Nothobranchius furzeri: one gene and its partners. Each later gene encodes a partner of the first gene's protein in a complex. Links are inferred from orthologs where the notes say so. Each region holds a gene or a part of one and is shown on either strand. Other genes may lie near its edges.

The links. Proteins that work in one complex are often made in the same cells at the same time.
Region 2: chchd6a (region 1) and MICOS complex subunit MIC26 share a complex: the UniProt entries of both Homo sapiens proteins name them as parts of the mitochondrial contact site and cristae organizing system (MICOS) complex. The link is inferred for Nothobranchius furzeri from reciprocal best matches to the Homo sapiens genes CHCHD6 and APOO.
Region 3: chchd6a (region 1) and micos13 share a complex: the UniProt entries of both Homo sapiens proteins name them as parts of the mitochondrial contact site and cristae organizing system (MICOS) complex. The link is inferred for Nothobranchius furzeri from reciprocal best matches to the Homo sapiens genes CHCHD6 and MICOS13.

What each region holds. Positions count from the first base shown.
Region 1 is NC_091755.1:50,941,048-50,947,052, reverse strand, and holds part of chchd6a (MICOS complex subunit mic25a), read left to right. Parts: intron 1-4,282; coding exon 4,283-4,418; intron 4,419-6,005. UniProt on the Homo sapiens protein: Component of the MICOS complex, a large protein complex of the mitochondrial inner membrane that plays crucial roles in the maintenance of crista junctions, inner membrane architecture, and formation of contact sites to the outer membrane.
Region 2 is NC_091751.1:40,247,006-40,252,498, forward strand, and holds MICOS complex subunit MIC26, read right to left. Parts: upstream 2,504-5,493; 5' UTR 2,306-2,503; coding exon 1,691-2,305; 3' UTR 1,290-1,690; downstream 1-1,289. Other genes in the region: eif3f (eukaryotic translation initiation factor 3 subunit F), read left to right, coding at 170-307, 383-474, 556-692, 833-946, 1,075-1,152; dnaaf6 (dynein axonemal assembly factor 6), read left to right, coding at 2,700-2,789, 2,906-2,969, 3,052-3,154, 3,353-3,449, 3,544-3,629, 4,403-4,532. UniProt on the Homo sapiens protein: Component of the MICOS complex, a large protein complex of the mitochondrial inner membrane that plays crucial roles in the maintenance of crista junctions, inner membrane architecture, and formation of contact sites to the outer membrane.
Region 3 is NC_091748.1:50,417,539-50,423,261, forward strand, and holds micos13 (MICOS complex subunit MIC13), read right to left. Parts: upstream 2,833-5,723; 5' UTR 2,702-2,832; coding exon 2,673-2,701; intron 2,300-2,672; coding exon 2,143-2,299; intron 1,967-2,142; coding exon 1,909-1,966; intron 1,708-1,908; coding exon 1,610-1,707; 3' UTR 1,290-1,609; downstream 1-1,289. Other genes in the region: hsd11b1la (hydroxysteroid 11-beta-dehydrogenase 1-like protein), read left to right, coding at 3,117-3,270. UniProt on the Homo sapiens protein: Component of the MICOS complex, a large protein complex of the mitochondrial inner membrane that plays crucial roles in the maintenance of crista junctions, inner membrane architecture, and formation of contact sites to the outer membrane.

The DNA of each region.
Region 1 (6,005 bases):
CCGAAGCAGCAAACCTGTCACACTTAATGCTCACAAAGACCGACAGGCAAAGAAATTGTAATACAGCCCACATATCAAATTAAGCACAGCCAATTCAATCCCTCAAAGCTCACTTTTCTGCTGTATTTGATCAGAACGATCCTACACACTCAATTAAGTGTGATTTAGTTTTAATTGTAGGATTTACAGTGAAGCACGTACCACACATCCCACTCGTTAAACAGGTGCCCATTAGTGGAATTGTAACTTGATTTATCATACTCTCTTTATGCGTTTTCTATTGTTCTACGTAAGATTGTTTTTTATACTGTACCTGAAAAACAATGCAAGAAATGAATTACTAAACAGAACCAGGTGTGAAGTCTTTAACTGCAGAAACAATTAAACAACTCTTGGTGTTTGGGCTAAAGCCACTGTGTGCATTTTAGAACATCCCTAGGTCAAATTTAGGTGGAAAAATGCTTAATTTCTTCAAGAAGAAAGCATCAACACAGCCAGTCACGTGATCGTAAGGTTGCAGGTTCCATCCCAGCTCCAACCAGAAAGGGCTGCTGTTGTGTCCTTGGGCAAGACGCTTAACCTGCCTGTATCAAGTATTAGGAAGAAAAAAAACTTCACAAATCAGAAACAAATAATTTATCGTAAAATAAATTATTTCAAAAAGCATCAGGTATCAGGAAATAAACTTCAAACAAAAAAAACAACTATAATTAACTAAAACCCACCACGCTTCATAAAGTGTCAAATGAAAATAATAAATAAAACAATTAAAACATCTGTTTGACAAAAGCCTCAACTATTAGGAATAAATGTACCAATACATTAAAAAACATATCAAAATAATATGGGTCCAGGATAAAATCAGAGATCAAAAATACAGAATCAATTATGAAATGTTGTGTTTGTCCCGATACTTGAAGTTTCTCCATGATACCTGATGTCTCTTGTTCTGGTGCAGTTTAGCTTGATCTGCAACACGATTTCCTTTGTGCCTTTTCATATAAAGATCTAAAATGTTCTACAACGGACTTCGAGAGACTCTGAACAAATGTTTAAAATTAAATCTAAATATATTAACCAGTGTGTGAATGTGTGTGTGAATGGGTGCATGACCCTTGGGGGGGTTGTAGAACCCTAAGAAGGTGCTATACAAAAACAGGTTACTTACCATAAAATATAAAACCCAGGAATGTCAGTAGCATGGAAAGACAACGGGGGCTTAGCCCGCAGGGTTGTGGAATGGAACTGGCACGTACTGACAGCCAAAAGAATCAGGGGAGTGTCCAGGGGGTGGCCTGGGGTAGCAAATGCCACCCTTGGAATCTGATTGGCCACCCCAGGGGCCACCACACTGAATTCACTTTAAATTGGCTTTTCATTGTTCACAAAAGGCTTGGGGTAAAACAAAAAAATGAAATAAGCATAACCATTGGTGCCACCCATGTACAAAGTAGTGCCTCACCTGGGCCACCCCATTTTCAAAGATCTGGACACGCCACTGAAAAGGATGTGTTATAATTAGAGTTTGTAGAAATTTTTAAGTGCGCACCTGAACCTTATAGATATAGTTTGTGACACGATGAGAATTACTGCCTTGGGGTAATTTTTCGGGGGATCTGAAGCCCACCCTAAATAGGCACAATGATGTCCATTATAAAATTTGTCCACCAAGCACAGCTGATTGGGCGACGGTGGCACAGGAGTTAAGCGCTCGCCCCGTAACCGGAAGGTTGCAGGTTCGAGCCCCGCTCAGTCTCTCTCTGTCGTTGTGTCCTTGGGCAAGACACTTAACCCACGTTGCCTGCTGGTGGTGGTCGGAGGGACCGGTGGCGCCAGTGCTCGGCAGCCTCGCCTCTGTCAGTGCGCCCCAGGGCAGCTGTGGCTACATCGTAGCTCATCACCATCAGTGTGTGAATGTTTGTGTGAATGGGTGAATGACTGATTGTGTTGTAAAGCGCCTTGGGGGGTTCCAGGACTCTAGAAGGCGCTATATCAAATACAGGCCATTTACCATTTACCATTTTGTTTTGACAAAACAATGCAATTGAACAGTCATGTAAACTTAACGCACTGAAGTGACTATTTATAATCCCAAATCACACAGATTTTAAACACCAGGCGTATGGCCATTGAGTATCTAATATAAATATCTATAATTGTGCTGAAGGAAAATCCCCATTGGGTAACTGACCGTCTTCACGCTCTGTGATTGGCCAGTCATATAGGGCGCCTGCCCCTCCCTACACACAAAACTCTGCAGCCCCAGTCCGGCCCATGCATCCACACACACACACACACAGATGGTAACGGATCTCTCTGTGCTTGCATCTCTGTTGCTCACGTTTCTTCAGAACTCCTTAGGTTTTCTTCAGCTCACCTCTTTTTCGGTTTAATATTTAAAGTTACTTTTTCGTAACGTACGTGGTGCATTTGACAAGACAGAGCTGAAAACGGCTCGTGCTGAATCGCTCACTGCCTCCACTCGGGTTTCTCTCTCTCTCTCTCTCTCTCTCTCTCTCTCTCTCTCTCTCTCTCTCTCTCTCTCTCTCTGTGTCTGTCTGTCTGTCTGTCTGTCTCTCTCTTTATGTATTAATTCATGCATTTAAATATTAATGTTCTAATTTAATTGAAAAACTTGTTCTGTAACAGTTCCTTTACTATTGTGATAAAAAATATTTAATCTGAATTCTGAGGCTGCTCTGTAAATAGTTTTCAAATAAACAATACACATAGCAACTTTTGATCATTCCATATCAATGTCAGACTTAAAATAATGTATAGATGTAAACCACACCCACTTCCGGGTTAGGCCACGCCCACTCCGAGTACAGATACAGATAATTTAGATGGTTGAACAGTAGGGATGTGAATCTTACCCCCAAATTCCACTACCTCCGCTCCCCACCTTCCGCAGCCGCTCGCTTCCGAACTCAATTTTTACTGGTACCCGCTCTACAACGGCTCCGCTCCATTGTGGAGACCTGAGGTGCGCAAACAAGCATGCGCAGGATTTTCGAGATCCTGCGATACAGTCCGAGCAGTAAACGCGGAAGTTAGATCCAAACACCTGTTGTGTGGGAGAAGCATCTGCATGAGCTGTTTAATCTGCCCATCATTTGTGTTGAGAGATCAGCAGTGTTTGGATCAACAAAGTGTGTCTACTTTGATAGTGGAAACTGTATTCATAGCTTACTTTTGTGCATTTAAAGTTCAACCGCCACTGATAGTTGTTAAAAGTTGTTAAACCTGTGCATATGAATCAAAAAACACTTTTTGTTTATCGATTTATTGTTAAATAACGGAAGTTGTGCTTGCTCCCTTTCCTGTTGGGCGGTTGTGATTCCTGTCCATTGACTGCGGAGGTGCTCCGGCGTCCGGCAAAAATAGGATCGATTCTATTTTTGCCGGACGCCGGAACAGAGGGCGGCGCACTGCCGCAGCACGGCTGCAGTAGTGGAATAGCTCTGATTGACTACAACGGGACCGATTTTGCTGCGGAGTTCGTGGCGGAGCGGAGGTAGTGGAATTTGGGGGTTAGAGCAACTCACGATTTGATTTGATTCTGATTCTTGGGGTGCTGATTCGATTCAGAATTGGTTCTCGATTCTCAATTTAAATCGATTCACAGTCAGTATTAACAAAGAGTGTCAACTCCAGGATTAACTACTTTGTTGTACAAGTTAGTTAAAGCTATGGGACACTGGTCATGCTCCAAAAATGCAAATTTACAATGTAAAATAAAGTGATTCTAAAACTGTAAACAGAAGCAATCTTTTGACCAAAAGGCAACATTTATTTTTGCTTATCTTGTAAAATATAACAAATCTGTAGATCTCAAACCTGTAACATGCCAAATATTTGAGTTCTTGAAATCGATTCGGAACCTTTGTGAATCGATTCTGAATGTTTATAAATAAGAATCCCGATTCAGACTTGAATCGACTTTTTTTTCAGCACCTCTAATGAACAGATACAGATAGTGGTGTACTTGCTCATCCCTAGTATCTAATAGTTTCTACAGTACAGGACTGATCAGGCAAATGAAATCTTCCGACTGATTTCCCCACATGCAGCCATGCCGTAATCATAGAATCATTTCTGCAGGGTCTAGGGCAAATCCGTTTCAAAATGAAACTGGTGTAAGAATCGTGGAGTGATGCTTCAAGTTTTATTCTTGAAGTACTTCATGTTTTACTGTCAGGGAAAATATACGGAAAACAGGATTTTTGTTGTCTTCATGTTCACGAATCTTTCTCTGGGTGTTTGTTGTTTCTTTTTGCAGGTCTCGCAACACAACTCCAGTGTGTTCTGGCCTCCAGGCTCAGATTTTATCCTGCTACAAGGACAACAAGGAGCAGACTCTAAGGTGCTCAGACCTGGCTAAGGAGTACATGCAGTGTATACATGCTGCAAAGAAGGTAAGAGACTTTAGGTATCTGTAAGAACCTGATCATTCAGATAACATCTCCCCATCATTGAAGCCTTGAATTTACATTAAATGAACACCATTTGCTTCTAACTAGATTATCTTGGAACCAAAAGTTTAAAAACTAAATGAAAGTGCCTTTTTATATAGTCAAAGAACCACACTTTCTAGTGGAGGTGTTCTGATTTAGAGCAGCACATACCCTTTGTGTTCTTTTTTTGTGTCGACGTTAAGGGGCACAAGGCGGTAAAAAGTTATAATTGCTAGGATTTTGAGTGTTGCGTCTCAAGGTTTTTACACACAGAAATCCTGTTATTGAAAACAGATTTCAGAGCGAAAGTCTAAGTTCAAAAACTTAAGTTCTTCCACTCGACTTGAGTTGTTTCCCCACGACTTTAAACTGACAACAGTGTGGTTGCTTTAAAATAAGTTCACCTCGTCTCTACAGACGGGTGTTGGGGCTAATTTTAGGTTGTGTTTGACAAAAAATTAAAGCGTGGGATGAACAGAAAATATGATCACTCAAGATAACGATGAGTTTAAAGCAAGATGTTTTCCCAGATGGTGTCATTCGATGTTTTTCCGAATATTTTCCTCAGCAATGCAGTGGATATGTGTAACAGAAGAAAATCTAAAACTGGAATGTAGGAGCATTGCAATTTTCATTTCTTTATTTGTGTTAATTTAAACAGTTTGGCTCCAGGCTGTGGTCACTTAAAGAAGATCATGTTAGAAAGTGTATTTCTAAATCCAGTTTAATTTATATTTTATTACGTTTAATCTATTAAATCTGCATCTATTGGCTCAACTTTTAGTCACTGTCCGTTTTCGCAGCAGCAGATTAGTGTAATTGTTTTTTTGTCTGATTTGCTTCTCATATTTACTTCCGTGTGTCATTATTAAGCTCTGGAAAGTCATGCTTGTTTTGTGTTTGTTTCCTTTCAAATAAGTCATAGAACTCTTAAAAGTCACTTTTACTCTCAAGTCTTTTTTTTGTCTTAACTCTTTGTTCTTCAGGCTTCAGTGATCTTTTACTATTATGTATCACTGCTAAAAAAAACTACTTCTTTAAAACTAATGAGCTGACAGTGAAGTTACCTTAAGAACAAAAAGCAAGATTCAGGCCTAGTCCACACGTAGCCGGGGTTTTTTAAAAACGAATATCCGCCCCTCCAAAAACGTGCATCCACACCACCTCGTTTTAAAAACAAACTGTCCACACGTACCCGGATAAATATGTTGTTAAGGACATGCCAGACCTGTAGGCGGCAGTACTTCCCCCATTCTTAACCTCGTCCTTCGTCTGTGGTCTTCCGCGAGGAGCAATAATTCCGCTTGCAAAAACAAACAAGCAAAAAAGCGCTTGGACAATTGATGGATCGGGTAGTGACAGAGCGCAGCTCTGAGGGCTTCCATGATGCCGGCTAGTGTAAACACAGGTCGCACACGTGATGTCAGCATTTTTTTGTCGCGGAAAGTGACGTTGTGGACCTTAAAACTCCGGTTTTGTCCGTCCACACGCAGACACCCAAAACGGAGAAAACGCAGATCTTCACTTTGGCCGGAGTTTTTAAAAAGA
Region 2 (5,493 bases), on another chromosome or scaffold:
ATATATATATATATATATATATATATATATATATATATATATATATATATATATATATATATATATATATATATATATATATATATATATATATATATATATATATATATATATATATTTTATATTAAAGAGAAGCCAAATTCTTGAACAAATGCACTCTTCCTGACAGGTATGCCACAGGGTTCGACATCACTGAACACTCTGTTCTCATCCACGAGTACTACAGCCGTGAGGCCACCAACCCCATTCACCTGACAGTGGACACGGCGCTGCAAAGCGGCAAAATGAACATCCGCGCTTACGTCAGGTCATCTGAGCTTCCTGTCCATGAATCTTTTAATGTGATCAACAGTGAGAGTGACCCTGTGTGTGTGTCTTTTAGTGCCCAGATGGGTGTACCAGGAAAAACAGTTGGTGTTATGTTCACCCCACTGACTGTCAAGTACATCCACTATGACACAGAGAGGATAGGAAGTAAGAGTGCCGAGAATAAATAAAATAACGGCCTCGTTTTAGTAGATTTTAACCGTACTTCATACTCCGTGTGTGTTCCAGTGGATCTGTTACAGAGGACACGTTTGGCTACCACACGTACCAAGGGCCTGACCTCTGACCTGTCTCAGGTGGGTGGTGCTGCAGCCAGGATACAGGACATGCTGACCACTGTTCTCGCATACATCGAGGACGTACTGGTGAGTGAACTTTAAAAATAAACTATTATTTACACCTTTATACTAATTAATTTAGTGTTTTAAGTCATTGTAGAAAACGTTTAGTTGGTGTTGATTAAAACGCTGATCATGGCTGTAAGATTAAGGTTGGTTTGTCTCAGTCAGGAAAAGTGACAGCAGATAACAGCGTGGGCCGCTTCCTCATGGACCTGGTCAACAAGGTGCCGACCATCTCAGCTGAGGACTTTGAGAACATGCTTAATTCCAACATCAACGTAAGAGATCCTCAACTGTACTGACTTCAGTTAGACCTTGCATTTGCCTTACCTCTATTGTCCCTTTGCATTACTGTAAATATGTTGCTTATTCTGGTGTAATCATGTAAATACTGTCATTGCTGCAGGACCTGCTGATGGTGACCTACCTGTCCAACCTGACCCAAGCACAGATTGCCCTAAACGAGAAGCTGGTGCTGCTCTGAGGACATTTCTGTAGATCATATTTAATTTTTTTTTTTAATTTTGGCCGAGAGAAATAAAGATGTTACCAGTCATTTATTTGTTTTCATTGGCACTGCCTTAGGTGAGTTTGTGACAACAAAACATGCAAAATGGGAACTAGTATTCAAAAGAATGATCATTTATTCATTTAAAACATGTTGCTTGTTTTACAGCTCATGGTTTTGGGATTTCCAAGATGTAGTTTAACTTATCAAAAACAATCATAAGTCAGGTTCCTATTACAGAACCAGAACAGCTTTCGTTTTCTTTGGTCTCTACTCAAACTTCACAAAGCAAACCAGAAAAATGTGTTAAAACCTGATTTTTAATCAAAGCCCCACAGATTCATTTTTTACTTAAATATACAATCAGAGGTTAATTATTCAAGTAGCAGGTCCAGTATGTGACAGGGCATGGCCGGCCTGAGTAACAGCAAAGTGCAGAGAGGGACTCTAACCCTAGCCCTAAAGCCAGTCCTGTCACCACCAGGCTGGTATTGCTGAGCAGCTGAACATAAGCCTACGGGTTGCGTTTAGATTTGTCCCCGTTTGCATCCTTGCTTTGAGGGTTTTTCAGGATCTTCTCTAGCGCAGCGTAGCTCCGCACCGCGCTGTCGTAGACGGAGTCTCCGGTTGACTTTGCGATGGCTGCCGCCTGCTCTGGGTAGTAAAGGGAGGCGCTTACGGCCATGAAACCCGCCGGGTAGAGGAGCTTCTTCACCCTGGAGCCTCTGGCCAGAAACAAGCCGAGCATTCCGGCAAAGCCGATGATTCCCGCCCGAGGATAGAAGTCCTTCGGAGGTTTCTGCAGACAAGCGTAGGCGTCACTCCCGAACTGGACGACCTTCTGAACTTTGGGTTTAATTTTGTCGAAGGTGCCCGAACACCAAGCCGAGTATGGCTCTGCTAGCTTCCTGAAGGTGGCGACACGCTCCTCCAGCTGCCCGGCTTCGGGCTCCGCATACCGACGGTTCTGCTGAGGAGCCGCGTACAGAGACAGTTCGTCCAGGCTCAACGGCGCCGTTGTCTCCTTTTCTCCGCCACCGGCAGCCCCAGCAGCAAAAACGGTGAAAGGTGGCAGTTGAGGCGCTCCCGGCATGGCTCTCTGTCTGTCACCTTGAACAAGGCCATGCATTCACTACGGCAACTGCGGAGGGGCATTACACGTGACGCCTTCTTGAGAAATTTGACGAACCGCGAAACTTTCAAATGTAACATCAGGTATATACATAAAATGAAATTATTCAATTGGGAAAATTATAGCCAACATTAAATAGCATTTTTACGCAGCTGTAGTCACAATAGCAAATACAGGATATAGAAATCCCCATCTCCCCGTTTCTTGAAGTGTCTGGTGGTTGCCAGGGCAACCGGATAGCCTCGTCGCCAGAAACCGTCAACACTGACCTCTCAAACGTCCGTTTAGCCGGTTATAAGCTGAAGTTCTAAACTAAGTTTGTTATATAAGCATTTGCATTTGTAGATGTTGTGGTTTGAGGTGTTTTTTTGAAAGGATTTAAGCTTTCCCAATGGCGTATCTTGGAGGATCATCTGCGCAGGACCTACTGGCTCTGTCTGCACTGTTATCCAAACAGGAGGAGGAAGATGAAAACTATAAAGTAAAAGTTTAAAATTCACAACCGTTTTGTAGTAATTCATACCGACTGTACTAACTGCCTGCATAATTCTTATATTTAGATTTGAGCTAAAATACTAGAAATTATATTTTCACCAGAATGCGGATGCCTGTGCACAGCTTGGCCCTGGACACATCGGACCTCCGCCAAAAACAGATGAAGGTGAGTTGTTTACTTGTAGTTCTCTACATTTATTCTGAATTATAGCAGTACACAAACTATTTCAGCCTGTTTTGCTGTTTAGCTTCAAGTTCCAACATGAAGAACTGCAAAGCAATCTGGAGTGAAGAAGAGGTGGCTGAGGGGGCCCATTATGATGATGTGGTAGATCCACGGCCTCAACCAGAGTAAGACAATAGTAATAGTTGGATAGGGAGGGTGGGTGAAGCATTTTTCTAACACACAATGGCAGAGTGGCTGGGATAAAGCTGGGGTTGAACCTGGTCTACCTCCTGGACCACCGAATTTAAAGAAGGCAGGCCCTTTCTTCATTTGATGGGACATTTTGAGAACAAGAAAGGCAGTTTTGTTATGTCTGTGTGCAGATATGAAATTATCCTGAAGCAGAATGTGGGAACCGAGGACCTGTTCTTAGGATTAAGCAGGAAGAATCCATCGTCCATGTGCTGTGAGGCAATGCAGGTATGTCATCAAACTTCTATTTGACAGAAGAAATCAAAATGCACAAAGGCTATGACATTCAGTTTCTTCATAAATACTTTTCTCCCACATTCAGGTGAAAATCAAACTACCAGACACTAAAGCAACAGATGTCTTTTTAGATCTTAAAGAAACGTTTCTTGATCTGCGAACACCAAAATAGTAAGAGATCATTTGAAAATGTTCACTTTCATTTTCCGGTGACTGAGCAGCTGCAGTTCAGTCTTGAAGCTCCCCTGTCTAGGTATTTGATTAAAGGTGTGAAACACTGAAATTTTTTTAATCTTATTTCTGATTATAACTCTAAGATTTTCATGCAGGCTGAACATAAAAATAGTCTCCTACACCAATCTCCTGCTTTAGCTTCTGATAGAAAACAGTTGAAATGACTAGAAAATCCTGACAGCTCTACGTCACACGGTCACTTATCATTGACGCACTCGCATATCTTGTCTTATGACGGGGAAGGCTGTTGTTGGTTCAACACCCAGGAAACAGCAGAGAACGTCTTGGCTAGTAGAAGCTAACTGTTAGCATGAGCAACTACACCACACAGCAGAAGCTCCTCCAGGCTTTTGTTATCAGATAAAACATCAGCATTGGAGTCAGTGGTAGAGTCGCTTTGCTGTTATCCAATAGGTGAGCTGTCCAGATATCAGGAAGGGTCCAAATCCTACTGTCTGAAGCTCAGCTGTGATGTAACTCACCTCTACTTCCTAAAATTGGTGCACCTGAGGATTTCTTCCCCAGAGCACAACTTACAAGGCGTTCATTTCTACTAAACACCACTGCAAATTTAAATGAGTGCTCCACACCTTTAAGTTTTCAGTACCATTTCATTCAGCTGTTGACATTTTGCTTTTTGTGCCTTCTTCATTAATTCAACATTTCATCCAGCTGTATTTTTTTTATCCCATCTTTTCTCTTTTTTTCAGCAAACTGGGCCTCCATCTGCCCCATCCCATCCACAGTCAAGAGGGAAAGGCCCAGTTCTTTAGTGAAAAGCAGGAACTGAAGGTGACACTGCTGATGAAGCGACCCACGGACTTCATCAACATGCAGTGACAAACAACAACAATGATTCAAGAATTCAGAGAAACACAAACGTAACACAAAATACACTGTATCCTACCTACACAATGAAAAGAAAAACGAATGATCAAAGTAAATCTTTTCTGTGAACATATTTAGAGTATGTTTGGAGCAATTGTCCTCTTTTATGATGAGAAATGATAATAAATGCTTTTGAATTATGTTTTCTGTCAGTTTTATCAATAAGTCTGTTTAATGATGGTAAAAAATAACCTGTTAGAATCAACCTGCAAAGATGCAGAAGTCTCAGCTAATCTTAGCTCAGCTTTGTCTTTTGAAGCAAGTGAAATTAATCATTGGATAGCTACCATGTAAACACTTTAATAGCAGGTGTATTTATTATGTATGGCATTTAATTCTTGTCTTCTACCCGTCAATTTCCTATTTGTAAGGAGATGGTAATAAATTGTGCAGCTATATGCCCTACATATATAGTTTTAAATATCTTTATGATGTTTGATATTCAAAAACAACACTGGTTTATCTTTTGGGTTTAGACCTGGGCTGTGGCTTTAAAGCGAAATAACAACAACCCTTGGAAAAGGGTCAACAGCTGAAAATATTGAAAATGTCTAACAGTATCCAAAGATATATTCTTAGGAGTTTAAAGAACCTTTTTCAAAATTAATTTACTTTAGATACTATTTTATTTAACTACAATTTTTTTATTTACTTGAATTACTTTAAAAGAACAAGTTAGCCCCTAACAAGACTCTTACTCCACTCCCACCATCTGTTTGAAAAATGCATCAAATGCTGTTGCCTGGCAAACCGAGAGGGCAGAGCCACTAATACGTAGACCAAACCATAGCACTGAGTCTGCTTTGATTAGGGTGCTAAATGACATTCTGGTGGCATCTGACTCTGGGTCTACGGTACTGCTGCTCCAGCTGGACCTTTCAGCGGCTTTTGATACGGTCGATCACCATATTTT
Region 3 (5,723 bases), on another chromosome or scaffold:
ATGCCCTCTGATGGCACCTTTCATGGAAATTCTTCAAAAAGTCAATAAGCTAAAACACAAAGTGTTTGGAATAAAAGCTTTAATTTATTGTTAGCACTAGAAAGGGTTTAAGAAAACAGCCTCACAAGATCACTTTAATCAGACCTCTTTAAAGTCAGATGCCAACGATCTGCATCTTTGCACCACATTTAGCACTACAACTTTACCTGGTTGGCCACATAATTTAGTATATGAATCAAAAGTCGCTTTTCTTAAGGAGACTGTTAAGAAAAGTTTAAGTCTTTCTGAATGTTAAAGTTAATAGCACTATTGTGCTTGCTATTTAGTAACTAATTTAGTATTTGAATACACACAATTCAAAAAGTGCCTTTAGGCTTGTCAATTTGGCAATATTGTAAATACAATTTCTCTTTATTGCTGCAACTGAAGGCTGCCATCTAGTTTTCATTTAGGACAGTTCTGCAAGCATCAGTTTTCAACAGCAGCATGGTTCTCCCCTTTATGTTGAACATGTTCTTCAAATGGATCATAATGCCTGTGTAATGTCACTGTCGATGTTGTGGGCAGCACTTTATTGTATAAAGTTTACATAGCTAGGTTGTTGTACAGTCTTAGTTTCCACTGGATGTTCCAAAAGGACAAAAGTGGCAGAAATATGCTTTAAGTGATGTGCATGAAGGAAACAAAGACAGTGCTGCAATACATTCAGATTATATTTAATCTGTAAAAATTTGTTTAAATCCCAATAATGTTGCTTGTGACTATTTTCATTTAGAAAAATTTCTCCCTAAAATCTGAGTCTCTTGTGAACAAATCATTAAGACACCTATAATTAAGAACTAAATGTATTTTCACAATCTGATGAGCTAACAAATTTGTAGTAAGTTGTCTTACAAAAAGCTCTTTTTCCAGTTGATGCTAAATGTGTGTTGACCTCACAATCTTTTAATTTATTGCATCTTTGAGAAAACATTTTGTTTATGTTATTTTATCACCTTAACAGTGCCTGAAGGTTTTGAAAATGTTTGATGTGCTAGAAACAATTCTGTACATGCATTCAAAACAAAGGTTAACACTGAGCGTCATTGCTAGTTGTGCTTTTGTCAAAAATACTTCATGCTTCCATTTTCGCTCCTTGTTCCAAAATTGTAGCAGACTGACTGCCCATGTCATAATATTCTGTTGTAATAAACATTTTTGCACATTAGTTTGGTTCTTCACTTTGAACACAGCTATAATCAGCACACTGTAAATTAAGTTTAACTAAATAAACCAAACAAGCCTGAGAATGTTTTCAGAATGATTTTATTGCAAATAGTGAGATTGCACGCATACATACATACACACACACAGCAGAAATTAACTTTTTTTTACATTATTTTGGACAGTTTGACATCTGGGTGGTATCCAACTCTACTGGACAACTGAAATAAACCAAAGTTCTGCTTTATGTACAGTATCCTTCCAACAACTCTCAACAAAACAGCCGAGATCTCTTTTGCAGCTGAATTTAAATAAGCTGTTTTGTTCAGGAAAGGGGACGACTTAAGGATTTACAAGTGCAAAAGTCAAGTGAATAGATAAATGAGGTTACTCAGAAAGTTCTTGTTCATTTGATGAGGTCTTTTGCGTACTGCACTCCCTGACTTGCGTATTCAGATGCTTTAGTTGGAGCCTCTGAGAGGCTTGAAATTGTCCACCGCACCCCTGTGATAGAAGAAATAACTGTTGTTAAAGAATACTTGATTCCAAATGAAATGATCACTGAAACTGGATAATATTCTAAGGTTTTTGTTGGTAAATTCACTTTATTAAAGAAAAAGTCCTGCTGTACCTGAGCCATTGCAATATTGCAATTAACCCTCTGAGGGACTAATAAAGGTATTCTTATTCTTACTAGGTTCTTACCAGAATTCCATGCTTCAACAGGGGAAATTTCAATTTTAGGTATGGCTGGAACCTGAGCCTAGGAACAGAGGAAAGAAGAAAAAAATGATGTACACAATTAAACATAAGGCTTAATTTCACATATGATGCATCGCCCACAAAGTCTTGTGCAGAGGCTGTAGCTGGAATTCAGTTTCTACAGTTTAAACATGTCAAAATGTGTGTGATCGCCTAAAAGTGTAATTTCATCTCTACCTCCAGACCAAAATACTTCATCCATTCCTCGATGGCGGGTGGTATAGCAGCTCTGGCCTTCTCCAGAGCCTCTGAGCCCTGTTCGCTGGTTCCCAGCAGACCCGAGTCACAGGCGACGTAAACAGCGCCTCCTGCAATGGTCACCTTGGTGGCCAGTCTGCAAATGAAAGATCAGCCACACCGTAAGCCAAAACCACCCAGCCACGTAACATTTACCACACTCAAAAGCACCACCTTAAAATTAAAACATTGCTTATTAAGTAATAAAGCAGGGAGATCTTAAATTCTGCGTTGATCAAGCAATATCAGCAACTCAACAAAACATTCATGAAAAATCGCATATGAAGCAATATTTGATTGGATCCTCGGCGACAATTTAGTTAGTAAAGTATCGGAAAATAACAGCTTGAAATCTCAATACAGTAAACGGATAAATGCCGTAGCATGCTAGCTCACAAGCTAATCAAGCATTCAGGTCACTTACCACTAAAACTTAAACGAAACTTAACAGTGAATTAAAATATACGAACTTGAGTAAAGGCAAAATCCTTGCCGCCATGGTCCACAGCTGTGTAACTTCTCTTTATAAGCTGTTTTTACCAAGACTCCAAACAGCGAATCTAACTTCACCGCTAGGCTGCACCATCGACATAGGGCTGCACTGAAGGACATTGCAGCGTTAGCTCTGTTTTTGTCAATAAAGTTGTTTTTTGAAACCCCAACGCTTTTTTCTCAGCGGCAGATTCGTTCTTTTCTATCCCACTTTATTCCTTTTGTAAAATTGTATGTAAGCAAAATGAAAATAAAAATGGTGTGCAGGTTAAATATAAATGTTCTTTTTAAGTTACTATAAGAAATGTTACATATTTAAATATGTTATAATTTGATCTCGGGAGAAGCGCAAAATAGAGAGAGTGAGTGAGTGAGTGAGAGAGAGAGGGGGGATGTTACATAAATGGCACCTCCTTCACATCATGAAAGTGAAGGCAGACTTTTATAACACAGCTAGGAAGTTTTCTGAGACTTATAGCGAGTTTACACACATGGGACCATTTGCAAAAATCCTGATAGGGAGCATTTCTGTAGCTTATTTTGCTGTCAAATGGACTGCGCCAAGTTTTGATCCAGGTAAATTTAAGAATAATTGTAAAAACGTCATTTGGTGTGGATTTTAAAACCAGTAATGTTTGGTGTGGGTTTTTTTTTGGGGGGGGGGGGGGGGGGGCATTTTTTAACCAACTTCAGAGTGCAGTAATGTCTTTTTTAATGCATGTTATGTGTTCACAAGAACTGTAAACATTTTCTACATAGGTAATTAGTTTCTCCTAATGTTAACCTAAAGTGAGGTTACAGAAACTAGGAATATTTAACACAATATAAGGATTAAAATATCTTGTTTGGAACTTTTTTGGACAATTACGGTTTAATTCTGTTTGGACAAGCAAATATGTTCTTGTCTGACCATCTGGAGGGATACATTAAACATCTAAATGTATTTCTCCTATTACCTAACCTATTGTATATCCAAATGAATATATTATTTAGACTACAAAATCTAGTCTTGAACCCTCCCACAGTGCACAGGGTACATTAAGCCCCAGGAAGACTGGTGGATGGGATTCAAATACATCCATACATCAATTTTCAACCGCTTATCCGTGGTCGGATCGCGGGGGAACCAGCCTAAGCCGAGAGGCCCAGACTTCCCTCTTCCCAGCTACTTGGGCCAGCTGCTCCAGGGGAATCCCAAGGTGTTCCTTGGCCAGCCAAGAGACATAGTCCTTCCAATGTGTCCTGGGTATTCCCTTTAGATCTCCTCCCAGTTGGACGTGACTGGAAAATCTCACCAGGGAGGCATCCAGGAGGCATTCTGACCAGATGCCAAGCCACCTCAACTGGCTCCTCTCGATGTGGAGGAGCAGTGGGTCTACTCCAAGCCCCTCCCGGATAACCGAGCTTCTAACCTCTAAGGGAGAGCCCAGCCACCTTGTTGAGAAAACGAATTTCAACCGCTTGTATTTGCGATCTTGTTCTTTCGGTCCCTACCCAAAGCTCCTGACCATAGGTGAGGATAGGAACTTAGATCGCCTGATTAATTGAGAGCTTTGCCTTCCAGCTCAGCTCTCTCTTCACCACAACAGACCAGTACAATGCCCGCATCACTGCACTAGGACACTATATATGTATATATATATATATATATATATATATATATATATATATATATATATATATATATATATATATATATATACTGTTATCTGAATTTGAAATTCAGATAACAGTTCAAAAGATACAGGTTCAACACCTATACATGTGTGATCAAATGTCAGAAATGGTCAGACCAGAAACTCTTGTGTAATATAAAGTACAAAACATGTTATACAAATATTAAGATGGATTTCTTTGGTGATGAACCCCTGCTTCCCCTTTACTCAACGCTAAACAGAAGTATCATTGTGTAAAATTATAGCAAATGTTTCATGACTTTTGAGCACATTTGGGAGTTGAAGCATAAAATGAGCGAATAATTTGTGAAAACCAGCTTTCTGCATGTGACTAAATAAAACATCCACCACAAGGATGCACTATGTTATTGTTAAGTGTTATGGCCACCTGCCTGGCCTCTTCAGTTGGAGGAGCCAGGATCACCCAGCCCCGGTGATCAGCCCGACACCGACCCCCCCCCCCCCTCCTCTCTTCCAGGCTGCTGAGGAGCACAGCTGAGCTGAATCCTTCTGATGACCAACATCTGGATAAAAAGGCTGTGCCTTCAGCAGTCTGGAAGGCAGCAGTGCAGGGGTTCTGCTGTCCTCCAGGCCTCATTTTGATTTCAACCCCTTTGTTTCTGATGAGTTTTGACTTCAAAAGTTTTAACTCTGAGTAATCTAAAGGGATCTTAGTTTGATGTCATCGTGGTTGACTCCGTTCTAAGGTTAACATCGCAGTTTACCGACTTTGAGATTTTAAGACGCTCTGTTTTTGTAGTTCTTATTATCAACTTGTGTTTTTTAAAACTCCTGTTTTGGTAAAACTTTTAACAAAGTTTAAACCAGGTGTTTCAATGTTGATAAGTGGTCCTTTAAATAACCTTTTAGTCTTAGTTTTTTGTTTGGCATTATTTGAATAACGCCTTCCATCTGTTTGCACTTGTTTTTAGAATCTTTATAACGATTAGACCCATTTTAAACCCACCATCATGTTTCTTATGTTACCCCCTCCTTCACTTTTTAACACCTCCTGTCGGGGACGTAACGATAAGCAAAAATTAGGTCACCACAATCCAAACCCATAGGGTCTTGTTTTTTCTGTTCTCCATAAGTCCAAATATCATTAAACCTAAAGGTCTGATTGGCTTATCTTTACAGCTCTGTATGTGCTGACTGACTCTAAACAGGGGCTGCGCAGTGGCGCAGTGGTTAGAGCTGTTGCCTTGCAGCAAGAAGGTCCTGAGTTTGCCTCCCGGCCTGGGATCTTTCTGCATGGAGGTTGCATGTTCTCCCTGTGCATGCTTGGGTTCTCTCCAGGTTCTCCGGCTTCCTCCCACAGTCCAAAAACATGACTGTAATGGGCCATTCCCA